Canis lupus familiaris: one gene and its partner. The main gene of each other region encodes a partner of the protein of the gene in region 2 in a complex. Links are inferred from orthologs where the notes say so. Each region holds a gene or a part of one and is shown on either strand. Other genes may lie near its edges.

The links. Proteins that work in one complex are often made in the same cells at the same time.
Region 1: MICOS13 (region 2) and CHCHD3 share a complex: the UniProt entries of both Homo sapiens proteins name them as parts of the mitochondrial contact site and cristae organizing system (MICOS) complex. The link is inferred for Canis lupus familiaris from reciprocal best matches to the Homo sapiens genes MICOS13 and CHCHD3.

Annotation. Positions count from the first base shown.
Region 1 is NC_049235.1:4,055,296-4,062,613, reverse strand, and holds the start of CHCHD3 (MICOS complex subunit MIC19), read right to left. Parts: upstream 5,040-7,318; 5' UTR 4,867-5,039; coding exon 4,786-4,866; intron 1-4,785. UniProt on the Homo sapiens protein: Component of the MICOS complex, a large protein complex of the mitochondrial inner membrane that plays crucial roles in the maintenance of crista junctions, inner membrane architecture, and formation of contact sites to the outer membrane.
Region 2 is NC_049241.1:54,734,067-54,741,193, reverse strand, and holds MICOS13 (MICOS complex subunit MIC13), read right to left. Parts: upstream 3,799-7,127; 5' UTR 3,306-3,798; coding exon 3,277-3,305; intron 2,711-3,276; coding exon 2,533-2,710; intron 2,414-2,532; coding exon 2,362-2,413; intron 1,995-2,361; coding exon 1,897-1,994; 3' UTR 1,760-1,896; downstream 1-1,759. Other genes in the region: HSD11B1L (hydroxysteroid 11-beta-dehydrogenase 1-like protein), read left to right, coding at 5,892-5,909, 5,997-6,123, 6,743-6,854, 7,071-7,127. UniProt on the Homo sapiens protein: Component of the MICOS complex, a large protein complex of the mitochondrial inner membrane that plays crucial roles in the maintenance of crista junctions, inner membrane architecture, and formation of contact sites to the outer membrane.

The sequences.
Region 1 (7,318 bases), on a different chromosome or scaffold from region 2:
CTTACTAAGTTCTGGTTTGTACCACTTACCACACCAACATGTGTTCCAGAGAGGAGGAAAGGATGTGTTACGTTCTATAGTCTTCCCACTCAAAACTTCCTAACCCCCTTGGCTGGTCTTATCTAAAACGAGCACAAATATACCACCCACCAATCTAGAATCCAGTATTCTCAGAAACAGGAGGCTGCATGAGAGGGACAAAGATAAGTATTTCCACTTCCAAGGAACCGAGTAAAAGGAGGAGGGGAACTCCTTCTAAGTTGCCCTTCTCTAAGAGGAAAGTTTAGAACCACCTAAGACAAATAAATCACACCCTCACCTCCATTATTTTTCTTCATCTCTTCCCCATGTGTCTTAAACTGACTAAAGGACTCAGACTCATTTTTCTCACTGGGTCTTCATGTAGCATAGGTCATCTTTTTTAAGAGTACTGGTTTCTTTTTTTAACTACCATTTTAAGAGACAGGTTCCCAAAACTGCCATTATTATATAGAAGATATTACTCCCAAATACTTACTTAAGGGCATGGTGAGGGAAGAGAGAGACATAAAGTTTATATGGTAACTTTTAGCTTACATTTGTAATTTGCCACTTGTATTTCTTTGCAATTGTCATTAATGGAAATGAACTTCTGTCTAAAATCTTAGAAAGATTGATTGATTGATTGATTGATTGATTTTTAAAGATTGCATTCATTCACTTGAGAGAGACAGAGAGAGAGAGCACAAGCAGGCAGAGGGAGTGGGACAAGCAGACTCCCAGATGAGCAGGGAGCCCAACACAGGGCTCAATCCCAGGACTTCAGGATCATGACCTGAGCCAAAGACAGACGGTTCACTGAGACACCCAGGCACCCCTCTTGGAAAGCTTTAAAAAAAAAAAAAAAAAAAAAAGTTCTATAAAGCTAAACAGGGTACTCTGCCCAAGAGTCACAGAATCTAAACTGGAAAGGAACCAATCATCCACCAGTTAGCTAAATTACCTCAACAGCATCCCTCAACACTCCCAGTGACTGACCGATTTATTGCCTCTGTTAATATACACTCTCCAGAATCCTCAACAATATCTCACATTAAATAATCTTTTCATTTTGGGGCTCCCAACTGTCAATACTTCCCCAAAGCATCAGTCGCATCCCATGTGAGGATCCATACAACTGCATGCATGTATGGCTCCTATGAATTTCAGCTTGCAACTTCAAGGCCAGTTGCAGAGCTTCCTTGATGCCTGGAAAGCCTGATAAATATTACTTTGAAAATGATACTCATTGAAGTTGACATTTGCTCTGGAAGAGTTCACTCACAGCTATGATGTTTTAGATAAACCAGTGAAAAGACTGAATGGTAAGCATACCTTCCAAACAGGCACAGCAGGTGCTCAGAAAAATCCTATTAAGAACATGTAATATGAGTAATGAAAATGCCTGGTCTTTCTATCCCTAGAAATGATTTTAAACTTGGAGAAGAAGGCAAGGCAAGAGGGTGGCCTTTCATCCAACCCATGAGTTGTTTTAGGTTTGAAGCTGGAATTAGGTATGAGAATATGAGTGATTTTATGCAAGTGGAGGGAAAGCTATCAACTGTGAAGGATAAAGGAAATAAACACCATGAAAATAACACCTGGTAGGTGAGAATAAACTTTAAACTTAAAATTGTTAAGTAGGCCCTTTAATTGCTAACCATTGAGGACATTTTCAGCAAAAAAAAAAAAAAAAAAAAAAAATCTGGGAAAACATTATCTATTAATAAACACAGCCTAGTTACTGAAAGCCTTATGTTGCTTACTAAATGTTACTCTTCCTATATTAAGATAAATGAAGATGAAATTACTATCCTTATCAGTGGAACGCAGAATTGGTTTTCCAGCAGTGACTTAGTCTGTGAATTGCTGCTACGCTCTCATTTCTTATGAGTGATGACATAAATATTAGACAATTGGACAAATCTGGAATGTTTTCTTCAGCTAAGTTGAACGAACCTATCTGCAGTTCAACGCTGAAGCTTGGGCCTCATCGGCACCTCGCTTTAGTCAACTGAGCTAAAAACAGTGGCTCGCTTATGATACCAAGATTGTTGCTTATCCTTCCCCATGCCTCAGAGGGAAACAAGAGGACTGTTTTGAGAGGAAGGCAAGGCAAGGCAAGAGGGTGTATTTTAGGAAAAATACAAAGATCGGCTGAAAAATTTATACAAAATGCCTAAAGGGAAATCACACAGGCAATCAGCTGCAGAACTAAGGACTCCTTTTTCTCAGTCCACATCTTTAGGTATGCCTGTGGGAGCACAATATGCTCTTATTTAATCATTTTAAGATCAATGTAAATTTACATACCCATTCCCTTGAACAACTCTAATAATACCTACTACTCATGTAAGTACTAAGCATTGTCAAAACACTAAATGCTTGTATACCACAAGCAGGCTGCAGTATCTAAACATACTGAACAAGGAAACCTAATCAAAGTGACTTGTCCAGGGCCACTGAGCCTAGTGAGAGGCAGAGCTAGAACTAAAGCCAGGTTGGCCAGCTTCCAAAGCAAGTGCTCTGGCCACTATTCTAACTACACAGCACTTCCAGAGAACCTTCAAATATTAGATGTGAAGGAACCTTACCTAACAGCTGCTTTTTATTAAAAAGCTACAACGTGCCACGTGCTTTAAATACCTTATCCCATCTTCTTACCAAATATGAAGAAGTGACTTGTCCAAAGCCGCAGAATGATAAACATCTAATCTGAGACTCACACCAAGGTCTGTTTAACTCCAAGCTGATGCTTTTTTGAACAAGACCCCAAAGAACTCAGGATGACCCCCAAGTACTCAACAATTCAAGAGCGTGCCATTTTTAGAGGAAATTGCAATGGGCTTGAGTATGGCTACAAGAAACTTATAGTGCCACTAGACTCACAGAATTTCAGAACCAGAAAAGATCAGAGGTCTCAGAGATGTACTCAAGCCCCATCATTTTGCAGATGAGCAAACTGAAGCACAGGGATGCAAATCAACCTTGAAAAAGAAGGATTTGAAGCAAGTGGGAGACCACTGCAAGGGCATTCCAGGTGAAGGGTGTATCCTGAAGTGAAGCAAAGCACAGAGGTCAAAGGGGGCATGGTGTGTGCTTGAATCATAAATACAATGCCCTCTGTGAGAAAGGACAAAAACAAAGAATACTTCTGTCAAGTCGTGTGTTCAAAAGACATAGTTTCTTTTACTTAAAAAAAGTGGAGAAAAAGTTTTTTAAACAATCTCCTCATTCTAGGCTAATATCTACCCTATTATCATCCTTATAGTAGCTAACCTTACCTAATATTTGATATGAAGGTCTGTGCTGTGTCCAAATTTTCTTTTCATTTTGTTTGCTCTCATCACTGTGTCTGTCTATAGCAGGGCGTGAGAACATGGATTTAACTATTGTTCTAGCCAGTGACTTCTCACCCAGAATTTGCTTTGCTCTCCCTTACTTTTCATTTTCACCCTTAGGTATGGAAAAGTCAGAGCCTAAGGCAAGGTTAAACAAATCTCTGCATAAAACGCAGTTTATAGTAGTTTTTATTTTACTCCAAGGAGTACCAACTAAACCACAACAATGCCATGCAGCCTCAGACATTCTGTTACAAAACGTGGTACTGTCATTAACTGATATCAAGGAATGGTGGTCACAGACCAAAAACTGAGGTCAACAGTTTGAGCTTCTATAGAGAAAGCTTTAATAAATTCTTCTCACGGTAACAGTTTCAGAGTAAAAGTTCTTAAACATTTTAAGTATTTAAGAAGTTTTATTTCCTGGTAACAGAACTAAACACAATTCACACATTTCATTCCCTTATGCGGGTTGTGTGATAACAAGGAAGGAAAACTTAACAAATGATAATGGAACTTCCAGAAGTGAAACTGCTTCATTGACCAGGTTCGAGCAATACTCTCAACACTGAGAGGCTCCCGGTTCAGGTGCAGCGAAGAGCGTTCAGTGCAGGTAGGGCCGGTGTACCGACACCCCGGGGGGAAACCAAGTGTTCCGCTTGCTCGCCGAGCACCCGCGGGGGGCGTTAAGGCTTTCCCGGCGACGTGCGGCTGGGGACTCACCGGACCCCACCGGCGCGGCGGTCTCCCAACACTGCAACCCTAGCTCAGGCTAGTCCGGCTGCCTGGCAGGCGCCTGTCCTGGAGCAACCGGGCCTCGTCCACAGAGGAGGCAAAGAGGAGGCGTCAAGCGAAAGCCCAGAGCTGGAAGGCACCCGGGCAGGCCCCAAGTCTGCGGCGTGTGCGTGTGCGTGTGCGTGTGCATGTGCGTGTGCGGCAACCGGGGGCACGAGACGGGGGCGCTAAGGAGAGGAGAGCGGGCTTTCCGCGAAGCGCCAACGCACCGAGAAGGGTAACGGGGGCCGGCGCAAAATGAGGTCGCGATCCTGAACCCAGGAGGAGTTCAGACAAGCCCCACTTCACAGAAGGCAAGGCCGGGGCTTCGGATAAAGCCCCCCGGCTCGTGGGCACCTCGGCCAAGCCCGGACTGGAGCCGCGCGCGGGGCAGTCGGCTTCCGCGTGGCGCTGCCCCCACCCGCCCCAGCGCCCAGCTCAGCGCCTGGCACGGGGCCAGGGGGTCCCTCTGGATGGACGTCCCGAGTCTTGAAACTTCAGGCTTCCTTGCAGGCAGGCAGCTCGGCTTCGGGCCGGACAGCACTGGGGGCCCGGGCGGGGGGACCCCGGCTGAGCCGTCCCGGGCAGGCCCGAGTGTGGGGTCCGGGCCGGGCGCCGGGCGCCGGCCCTCCGCCCGCCCGCGGTCACTCACCCGGATGCCCTTCACCACGGTGATGTTCTCGTTCTCGTCCGCCTCGAAGGTGACCCGGCGGGTGCTGGCGGCCCCGCCCATGGCTCCTGCTTCTGCCCCCGCACAGACCTGGCCCGGGCGCACGAGGAGTTCAGGCCCCACGCGCACACACGCGCGGGGACGCACCGGCCGACGCCTTCCTCGCGCGGCGGGAGCAAGGCCACGACCCCAACAAGCAAGGAGAAGGCGCCGGTCCTCGGCTCCCGCCTCCTCCGGTCACGCGCCGCAACAAGCGTGCCTCCGATTGGTCGGAGACACGAACGGCCCGCCTCTATTCGGCGGGGGCGCCCGGATTGGTTGGACCGGCCCCGGAGGCTATGGCAACAGGTGCTGTCTGACCCGGCTTCCGCAGCCCCCGGGTGTACTGGGAATTGTAGTCTCCCGTCCGGCGCGGTAGCGGCTGGGACCTTCTTGCCTCGGACCCAGAGCGCGAGGGGCGCGCGGCATCCTGGGAGATGTAGTCTGGATTGTGCGCGCGCTTTGTAGGCGGGCGACTTGGAAGGAAGTCCGTCCCTCTAACGAAACCTACGTTTTGGACGTGTGGCTCCAGAGACGTGGGTCGGGGACGTGGGGCGTACAAAGTCTGTCCTCAGGGAACTCGCGGTCTGCCCAGGGAGATGCTCTGTCCTAACGGAGCCATTCCTAGATTCCTAACACTAGAAACATGAGGCAAAATGTAACATTCATTTTAGCCTGAGCCACAAAAACAATAAAAATCCAGAAACTCGCCCTGTGGCCGTACTCAGGAGGACCGTGTACCACGCACCGTTCTGTTGACTTTCGTGAGATGAAGTTCTAACTACTGTGGCGTTCAGGTCCGCAGGCGCGGACACAGACCGCAAAGCGCCCCCGCGCCTCCTTCCCCGTCCGTTGCCGCAACTGCTTAGGCCGGGATGCGACGAGGCGGAGGAAAGCGCAGCCGCTACCACGAGCGGCGGGCGTTGGGGGAGGAATCAGAACCACAGCAGACGAAGCTGAGATCATTTATTCTGGAAGGTTTCTAGTTCAGAACTTCGCCTCTGCAAGACCAGTAAATAACTTTTAAGTGACATACACACATTTAGAATTCTTACCGGGGTACCCCAGTGGCTTGGTCCGTGAAGGATCTGGCTCTTGAGCTCGAGATACTGAGTTTGAGTCCGACCTTGGGCTACATGCTAGGCATGGAGCCTATTAAAAAAAAAATCAAATCGATATCTGCTACGTACCCTGTGACCTGTAACTCCAGTCAAATGACTATAGTCTTACAGAGGCAGATTTAGAAATGAGGCTAATGATGGTGCCATTCTTGAATCCCTGTCAACATTAAAAGCAACCAACCACGACACAGCATGGCATCCTCCTATTACAAAGGCATTCAGAAAACTTGTAATGATTTTTTTTTAAGTTTTATTTAAATAATCTCGACAGCAAGCATGGGGTTGGAACTCATGACCCCTAAATCAAGGGCCGCATGTTCCTCGAACGGAGCCACCCAGTCACCCCTTAAACCGGCTATTCATTACTGGAGGAATCTTTAGAGCCAACACTGTGTCTTTCATCTCTGTGTCCCTGGTCAGCAGTAGAGTAATGAATTTATTCCATTCATAATTTTGTTATTTTTAATATATATGTTTCCAAATTGTATTATGTTATTTTGTTCTTATTCTCAAATTGTATAATATATTTAAACCTTTCTTTTACAGGGAACTAAAAATCCCAAAGATTATGTCTTTCTTGGGCACATTCCCTCCCTATATGTACCCTCCTCGCTTATTACCCCAATACATAGAGCAAACTGGAGGTTCTACATAAAACAGATGCTCAATTAATTATTACCAAAATAACTAATTACAAGAGTTTAAGGAGAAAGTAGAGATATGAAGGAATCACTAATTATATTGAATACAGTTATGATGGAATGCCTGGATAGCTCAGCAGTTGAGCATCTGTCTGCCTTTGGCTCAGGGCGTGAACTCAGGAGTCCCGGGATCGAGTTCCACATGCGGCTCCCTGCATGGAGCCTGCTTCTCCTTCTGCCTGTGTCTCTGCCTCTCTCTGTGTGTCTCTCATGAATAAATAAATAAAATCCTAAAAAAAAAACCTTTAGAATTAATAATCCATTCCAAACAACATTACCGAAAAGAAGAAAGAAAGAAAGAAAGAAAGAAAGAAAGAGAAAGAAAGAAAGAAAGAAAGAGGAGAAAGAAAGAAAACCAAAAACAAAACAAAACAAAAACCTTGAATTGAAAAAAAAAAATACATCTTTTTCTTGGAAAAATGCCTACTATAACAATAGTGACCTACCTGTATCAATTTCAAGGCCAAGCATGCCTACAGTCCCTTCTAAAGAAAATGTCTTGAGCTACCTAGGACTTGTGGTCTCCCTTTTTCTCTGGCCACAGCTTATTGGTGATCATCTAATCCAAAAGCATTATCAATTAGCCAGAGACCTATGAACTAGAATGCAAAGTTTTACCTAACCAAAAATAATAGCTAACACTTGAGCCACTCA
Region 2 (7,127 bases):
GGGTATGGGTGTATGTGGGGGGAGACAGACACGTGACCAAGCCTTCAGATGGTGGGGGGCAGGGGCAGCAAATAAAACCCCCTCCCACCTGGGCCACAGATCACCCCACCCACCCTTATCCCCAAGCCTGTGCGCATGGTAACCTAAAGGGCCAGAAGCCCCTTCTGGGGCCCAGTGTCCTCACTGGGGTCCTATAAGGGGAATAGGGAGGCAGGAGAGCTGGGGGGGGGGCTGGACACCCACACGCTCCACAGCTCGCTTTGAAGATGGGGGGGGGCACTCCTGCTGAGTGTGGTGGCCTCTAGAAGCTGGAAAAGGCCAGATACGGACTGTCCCCAGAAAGAGCCAGCCCTGTCCTCCTAGCTCCGTGAGACCCGTGGTGGGCTTCCAGCCTCCAGATCTGTGAACCGGTCGACGTGTGCTTTTAAGCCCCTGAATCTGGTCATTTGTCACGGGAGACTAGCAAACTCCCAAGGCAGTGCTCGTCTGCTGGGATGACTGCCCAGGAGACACCTGGCAGCAACTGGAGACGTCTGCAGCCGTCAGGACCAGGGGACAGAGTGCCACTGGCATTTCGGGGGTGGAGGCAGGGATGCTGTTCAACACCTACTGTGCCCAGGCTGAGGTAGGGCGACCTTGCCTCGCAGTGCTAAGGCCCTGATAGGACACCCACAGGGCAGTCGGGGGGCCTGGGCCGAGTGCCTGACTTCAGGCTGGGAGGAAGGGGTCGGGAGGCTTTCCAGAGGAGGCCAATGCTAAGCTGCAGGCAGGATGAGCCAGAGTCAGGAGGGAGGATGGCCTGCTGAGTGGGTGCCAAGGCCAGTGGTGAAGACCAACTGCGTTCTGGGAATGGGGCCCCTTGGAGGAGTCCGGGCTCAAGGGGAAGGCAGCAGGGAGCCATAGAGGGTTTCCGAGGAGGGCAGGGACATGTTCAGACTTGGACCTGGGAAGTGGATGGAAGGGCACAAGGCCGAGAGCCGGGGGCGGGGGGGGGGGGGCGTCAGTGCAAACAGACCTAGGGCTTGGGGAAGGCATCTCTTCAGAGCTGCTGAGGGACCCGCAGGGCCTGGAGCAGCCTGAGGCCCCAGCAGCCCTCGGGGTACGTGTGTCCGTCTGTAAGAGACGCAGCCCTGCCTGCCCTGTGCCCTCAGACAGGTGCCTCTATCTCCGCCCTTTTCCTCACCTGGAAACCACACGGCCCACCCTCGTCCTCGCTGTGCGGCTGCCTTGGGGGTGGCCAGGTGCTTCCTGAAGCCCTGCCTGCCTGCCTGCCCGGCGCCCCTGGGCCACACCTGGCCATCTCTGCTTTTTTGCAGCCCCCACGTCATGACCCCCTCCCCGGGGACACAGGCCCGTCCTGCGGGGACTGCAGTCGCTCTCGTGAGCAGCTCTACACACGGTGATCACTGAGCGGCCCCGGGAACTCCTGGCCACGCAGACAGCGGGGAGATGAACATGCCCCTCCCCAGGCCCCCAGCCCCGCAAAGCCCCCACCCTGGGCTCAGCCCTCCAGGAAGGCCGGCATCGGCACTTTCTCAACCCGTTCCTGGGCCCCTGAGCACTGTCCGTGGAGCTCCAGGGTCAATGTCTGCCCCCAGCCCCGCACCAGGTTGGAGACTCAGCAGTGGGGTCCGGACGGCAAAGGGGTTAACCAACACCTGTGGTCCAGGTCAGGCCCTGAGGAGCTGCTAGCCCAGGCCCCTTGCTCTGGGCACCAGCCGGGCCACCCCCAGCCCCCAGGGCCAGCACACGGGTCGGGGAGCATTTCCAAAGTCCTTTATTGGGCCGGCAAGGCCGGGAGCTGCCCTCGAGTGGGGTCCCAGTCCCAGTCTGGAGTCTCCAGGTCGCTGGTGCCCCTGCCCCCGTTCCTGACTGGGGCAGGTGGCCTCTGGCAGGCTACTTGATCCGCTCCTTCAGGTATTCCCAGCCGTCCCTGGAGTACTCGCGGGCCTTGGAGGGGGCCACCGACAGAGCTGACATCACCGTGAGGATCCCTGTGGAGAGGGAGGCCCCAGCGCCTTCAGCCACCGCGTCTCGCCCACCCACACCAGCCCCCCGGAAACCCGAGCTCCACAAGGCTTTGAGAGGCACCAGTTCCAGCGCCATCGGTCCCACATGGGGAAACTGAGGCGGGGGGGGGGGCAGGGCCTCATGTTGTCTGAGATCACCTGTCCTCAAAGTAGGCTCCCTCTGGCTCACCCCTCCCTGAAATCTCCACCCTCTTTAGATCCTTTAGATCCGTGGCAGGGGTGCAGGGCAGCACGGGGAGCCACGGGAAGGAGTGACCAGGAAGCAAGCGGTGGCAGGGTTGTGAGGCTGCGGTGGCAGGGGTCACCCCCCAGCACGGGGACCAGGGCCTACCTGAGTTCCAGGTGTCACGGAAGTGAAAGTTAAATTTTGGAGGGGCTGGGAGCTGGGAAGAGAGGGGAGAAGGGGCAGGTGAGAAGGGGAAGGGCCCCGCGGCCCCAGCCTCGCAGGACCGAGCCCGTGGGAGGACGCGGACACGGACACGGACACGCCGCCGGGGGCTACCTGGGGCATCTTCAGGCCGGTCTGCTCGCACACGTACTGGCTGAGCTGGTACATGGCTGGGGGCACCACCTCCTCGGCCCTCTGGAGCACAGCCTGGCTCTTGTCGCTTGGGCCCAGCAGCTCCTGGTCGTACACCAGGTAGACCGCACCCCCGGCCACGCTGCCCTTGATGAGGAACCTGCGGTGGTGGGGGGGGGGGAGGCAGGGCGGCGGCTCAGCAGCTCCCCGGCACTGCCGGCAGCCCCGGGCTCCTGGCCCACGCGGGGCGCCTGGGTCCGGGGAGTGACACAGCGAGGCCGGGCAGCGGACACGGAAGAACAAGGAGGCGGCCGGGCACCGCCTGGCACAACGCTCCCCTCACTGCACAGAGCACAGCCCCTCGGCCCCGTTTAACAGGTAAACTGAGGCCCACTCGTGATCCGCACACGGCGCGGCGAGGGAAGGCCTAGACCCCCGGCCTTGTGCCTCGCGGGGTCCCGCGCGGCCCTGGGCGCTCCTTGGACGTCGCGCGTCGCCCCGGGCACCCGGGGTCTTGGCGCAGCGCGGGCGGCACTCCCGCCGTCCAGGGGAGGCACCTGCGGCCCCGGATCGCGGGAGGCCCCTCCCCTCCTGACCCTCAGGTCAGGCCGAGGCGGGACCCGACGCCACGGAACTCCAAGACCCAGCCGGAAGCAAACCCGGCGGGGGGTGCCCACGGGAGGGGCTTTCTCGGGGGCTCGGAGCCCGCCCCGCCGCCCCACGCACCTCATCAGCGACCACACTCGGGGCACCATGGTCGCTCGGCTCCGCGCGCAAGGACACTCGACTCGCCCGCCGCTTCCGGTGACTGCGCCGCAGAGGCCTCTGGGAAACGTAGTCGCCCGACTCAGCCGCAAAGGCCTGTGAGAGTCGAAGTCGCGCGGCGGCCGCAAAACGCCGGAGAGGCTCCGCAGCCCTCCAGCGAAAGGATTCTGAGAAGTGTAATCTTCAGAGCCCGGACGCCGCAAGGCTGCCTGGGAAATGGAGTCAGGACCAACCCCCGTGAGGCGCCGGACGGCTCGCCCAGCCGCCGAGACTGCTGGGAGATGTAGTCCGGTCTGGCGCGGCTCCGGCGGCGTGCGAGGAAAAGAGGAGTCGGGCGTCTAGACTGAGGCCCGACAGTGGCCCAAGAAGGCGTCGGAGTCCGGGAGATCCACCCGCGCCCGCGCGGGGGACCGAGGGCCCCGGCCCAGGGCGAGTGTGCCAATAAGATGGTTGGTTGTCACGGCAACGCGAGGTCGGAATTGTGCGTGGGAGGCGGGCCCTCGGTCACGTGCCTGCCTCGGGGGCGGGGCTTTCGTCCAGGGGGCGGGCCCAGGACCACGGCGGGGCGAGGGCGAGCCGGGCGGAAGGCCGTTGCCGGGCAACGCCCGGGCGCCGCGCTCCCCCGCCAGGCCCCGCCCCCTGCGGAGGTGGGCTCGGTGTCACGTGACCCGGACCCTACGGGAGGGGGCGCGGTCGGGGGCCCGGCGGAGCCGGCAGCGTAGGGAGGTGCGAGTCCGAGGGGTGCGCGCCGGGCTCCCAGGCCCGGACCCCAGCCCCGCTGGACGGCGGGAGAAACTGAGGCCCGAGTGGGTGAGTACGAGGTTGGGAGCGCGCGGCACGTCGCACGCCCTTTTTGTCCAGAGGGGAAACTGAGGCTCTGTGAGGTCAGGGGACCAGTGCGTTCTGCGAGGGTCTGGTTCTCCCAATTCCGTCCCCATGGGACGCCGGCCGGCTGCTCCGTCCATCCATCCACCCACCCATCCACCCAGACGGCCAGCCGGCCGCCCGCCCCCGCCCCCGCCCCCGCCGCGTGGCTGCTGTGGTCAGGGTGGAAGAGGGTCAAGTTGCGGGACTTCACGGGCGTCCCCTGGAAAGCGGGGAGAGGTGGGATGGCTGCCGTGACTGGGGAAGGGCGAGGACTTCACTCTTCGGAGAGCTGAGAAAGAGTCACAGACAGGAACCCGGCAAGATGAGAAGGGACAGGTGGGCCAGGGCCGGGCCCGCGGCGCATTGTGGGCCGGGGTGAGGAGCTCGGTCTCCACGAGGGGCAGTGGCGAGCCCTGAGAGGGTTTGCAGCAGCAAGGGGCAGTCACATTTCTTTGGGTAAATATGTCTTGGGCTGCCCGGAGAGCATAGGGTGCGGAGGAGGGAGTGGGAGGGTGGGGGAGGCAGGGGGAGGCAGCTGGAAGTTGGCAGTAGGTCGAAGGATCTAGACATCTCAGAGCTGAGGGCACCCCAGCCCCACCATCTCTCAGTTCTACAGTTCTACCCCTACTGCGTTCAGAGAACAGAAACCCCAGGATGTGACGGGCCTGTGCCTTCCTTGGGGGAAGATTCGTGCCCCCCTGAATCGTGAAGTCCTTGGCCTGTTTCTCTCTTTCACCTTCTCCCCGGAACAAGTAAATCCACTCCCACAGCTCAAGTCACATCTTAACCGTGACGACACAGGCTCCTTCCTGGTGTCTCCAGAGTCATCTCTCCGGGTCCCCCCAGCTGTCACTTCCAATGTTCGTCACATCACTCAGGGCCAGTCTCGTGTCTGTCGAGCATCTGCTCCATGTCTGGCAGTTTGGGGGCCACTGAGGACCCAACAGCGAACAAAGCAGAAGCAAGTTTCCGTTTCCTTCCTGCCTCGTGGAGCTGACGCTCTAAGAGGAGAGAGGGACAGGGAGCATGTAACAGATCATCAGGATGATTTCAGATCATGGCAAGTGCTGAGAGCGTGGAAGTTTTAGAGGCAAGAGGAGGGAGAGGGACCAGGAGGTACTTTAGGAAAGGAGGCCAGGGGGTTTTCCTTGGAGAAGGTCAGTTTTGTGCTGACTTCAGAGAAGTGAGAGAGCAACTCATTGGGTTATATTTGGGAAGAGCATTTCGGGCAGAGGGAGTAGCCAATGCAAAGGCCCTGAGGCAGGATGGAGTCTGGCTCCTTCTAAGGAATGCTGAAGAGGCGCTGTTTTGGCAAACAGAGCAAGAGGGGCTGGTCCTCGTGGGGCCTTTTTGAGCATCAAGGAGCCTGGCTTTTGTCCTAAATGAGATGGGGAGGGTTTTCAGCAGGGGGAGGTAAGATGTAATTTGGCTGCTTCTAGGAGGGAGAACAACCTGAAGAGGCGAGGGGAAGCTATATGACCTGGACCAGGTGCTGGCTGCGGAGATGGAGGAGAGAGGGCAGGGCCTGGAGGGAGCATCGTCAGCAAACAAAGGCCCAGCTGGGGAAATGGGGGTGGCTGTGGGCCAGGCTGTGCGCCAGGCTGTGCCTGCCATCCTCTCTCCCGCTGCAGACCCTGCAGACTCAGAGCCGGCCATGAAGGTTCTGCTCCTCACGGGGCTGGGAGCCCTGTTCTTCTCCTACTACTGGGATGACAACTTTGACCCTGGTGAGTGCCTGGAGGTGGGGGAGGGACGAATTGGGCCCCCCATCCGGGGCATCCCCAGCATTGACCACGGTGCACACTGCTAGCCAGCCTCCAGGGAGCCCGGGTGCTGCTGACCGGGGCCAGCGCAGGCGTCGGGGAGGAGCTGGCCTATCACTACGCTCGCCTGGGCTCCCACCTGGTGCTCACAGCCCACACCGAGGCTTTCCTGCAGAAGGTGAGACGCCGATTTCCAGTGGAATGGTGGGGGCGGGAGTGGCTGGAAAACCGGGCCTGGGTTCAAATACTCCCAAAGATCCAGGCTTCGTCTGTGACCTGTAGCAAGTAGGTTAACCCTGAGCCTAGGTTCCTCATTCGCCCCCCAGAGACAATAAAAGTACCTTCTCCTGGGTTCTGGTGTTGGGTTAATACAGTGAGACAGTGAAAGACAGGGAGTGTTCCTCAAAAAATGGGATTGGTGGTGGTGTCCAGAGCCTGTGCCAAACTCCAGGGAGGGGTGGTGGGTGGACGCTTCTTAGCCCATGGTAGCTCCAAGAAAACGTAGTGTTTGCAACGGACCTTGCACGATGTCCAGAGGGGCCAGACATCTCGAGATTGACCTGAAATCTGAGTTTTAAATGCGGGTGTTGAGCAAAGAGAAGGGCCCTTGTTGTAGCCCCCGGGCTGCCAATGTGCCCCCCCACCCCCGGGGCAGAGCTTTGGGAATAATGTGGAATGTAACCCGAAGCACGGGGTTGGTGGGGGGAGGGGGGCTTTGGGCTGGGGCGCCAGAGGCCTAGCAGGCCGAGGGGGGCCCGCCGGGGTGGACCGGCCCACGGGCAGCTCTGGCCCCCCAGGTGGTAGGGAACTGCCGGAAGCTGGGCGCTCCCGAGGTCTTCTACATCGCTGCGGACATGGCCTCCCCCGAGGTGCCCGGGCGCGTGGTGCAGTTTGCGCTGGACAAGCTGGGTGAGGGGCGGGGCCTGGCGTCTGGGGCGGGGGCCTAGGCCTTGGGGCAGGACTCGGAGGGGGTGGGGCCGTGGTCTCGGTGGGCGGAGCTTAGGGGTCTGGGGCTTGGCCAGGGTGGAGCCTCACTGCCTCCAGGGGGCGGAACTCTGGACTGGGTCTCTGGATCGGGGACCAAGCCTGGCAGGGCCAGGGAATAGGGTCCGGTCTCTTAGGTAGGAGGCGGGAGCTTCCCGGGGCGGAACGCACGGGGTCAGTGCTCCGGCCGCAGCTTCC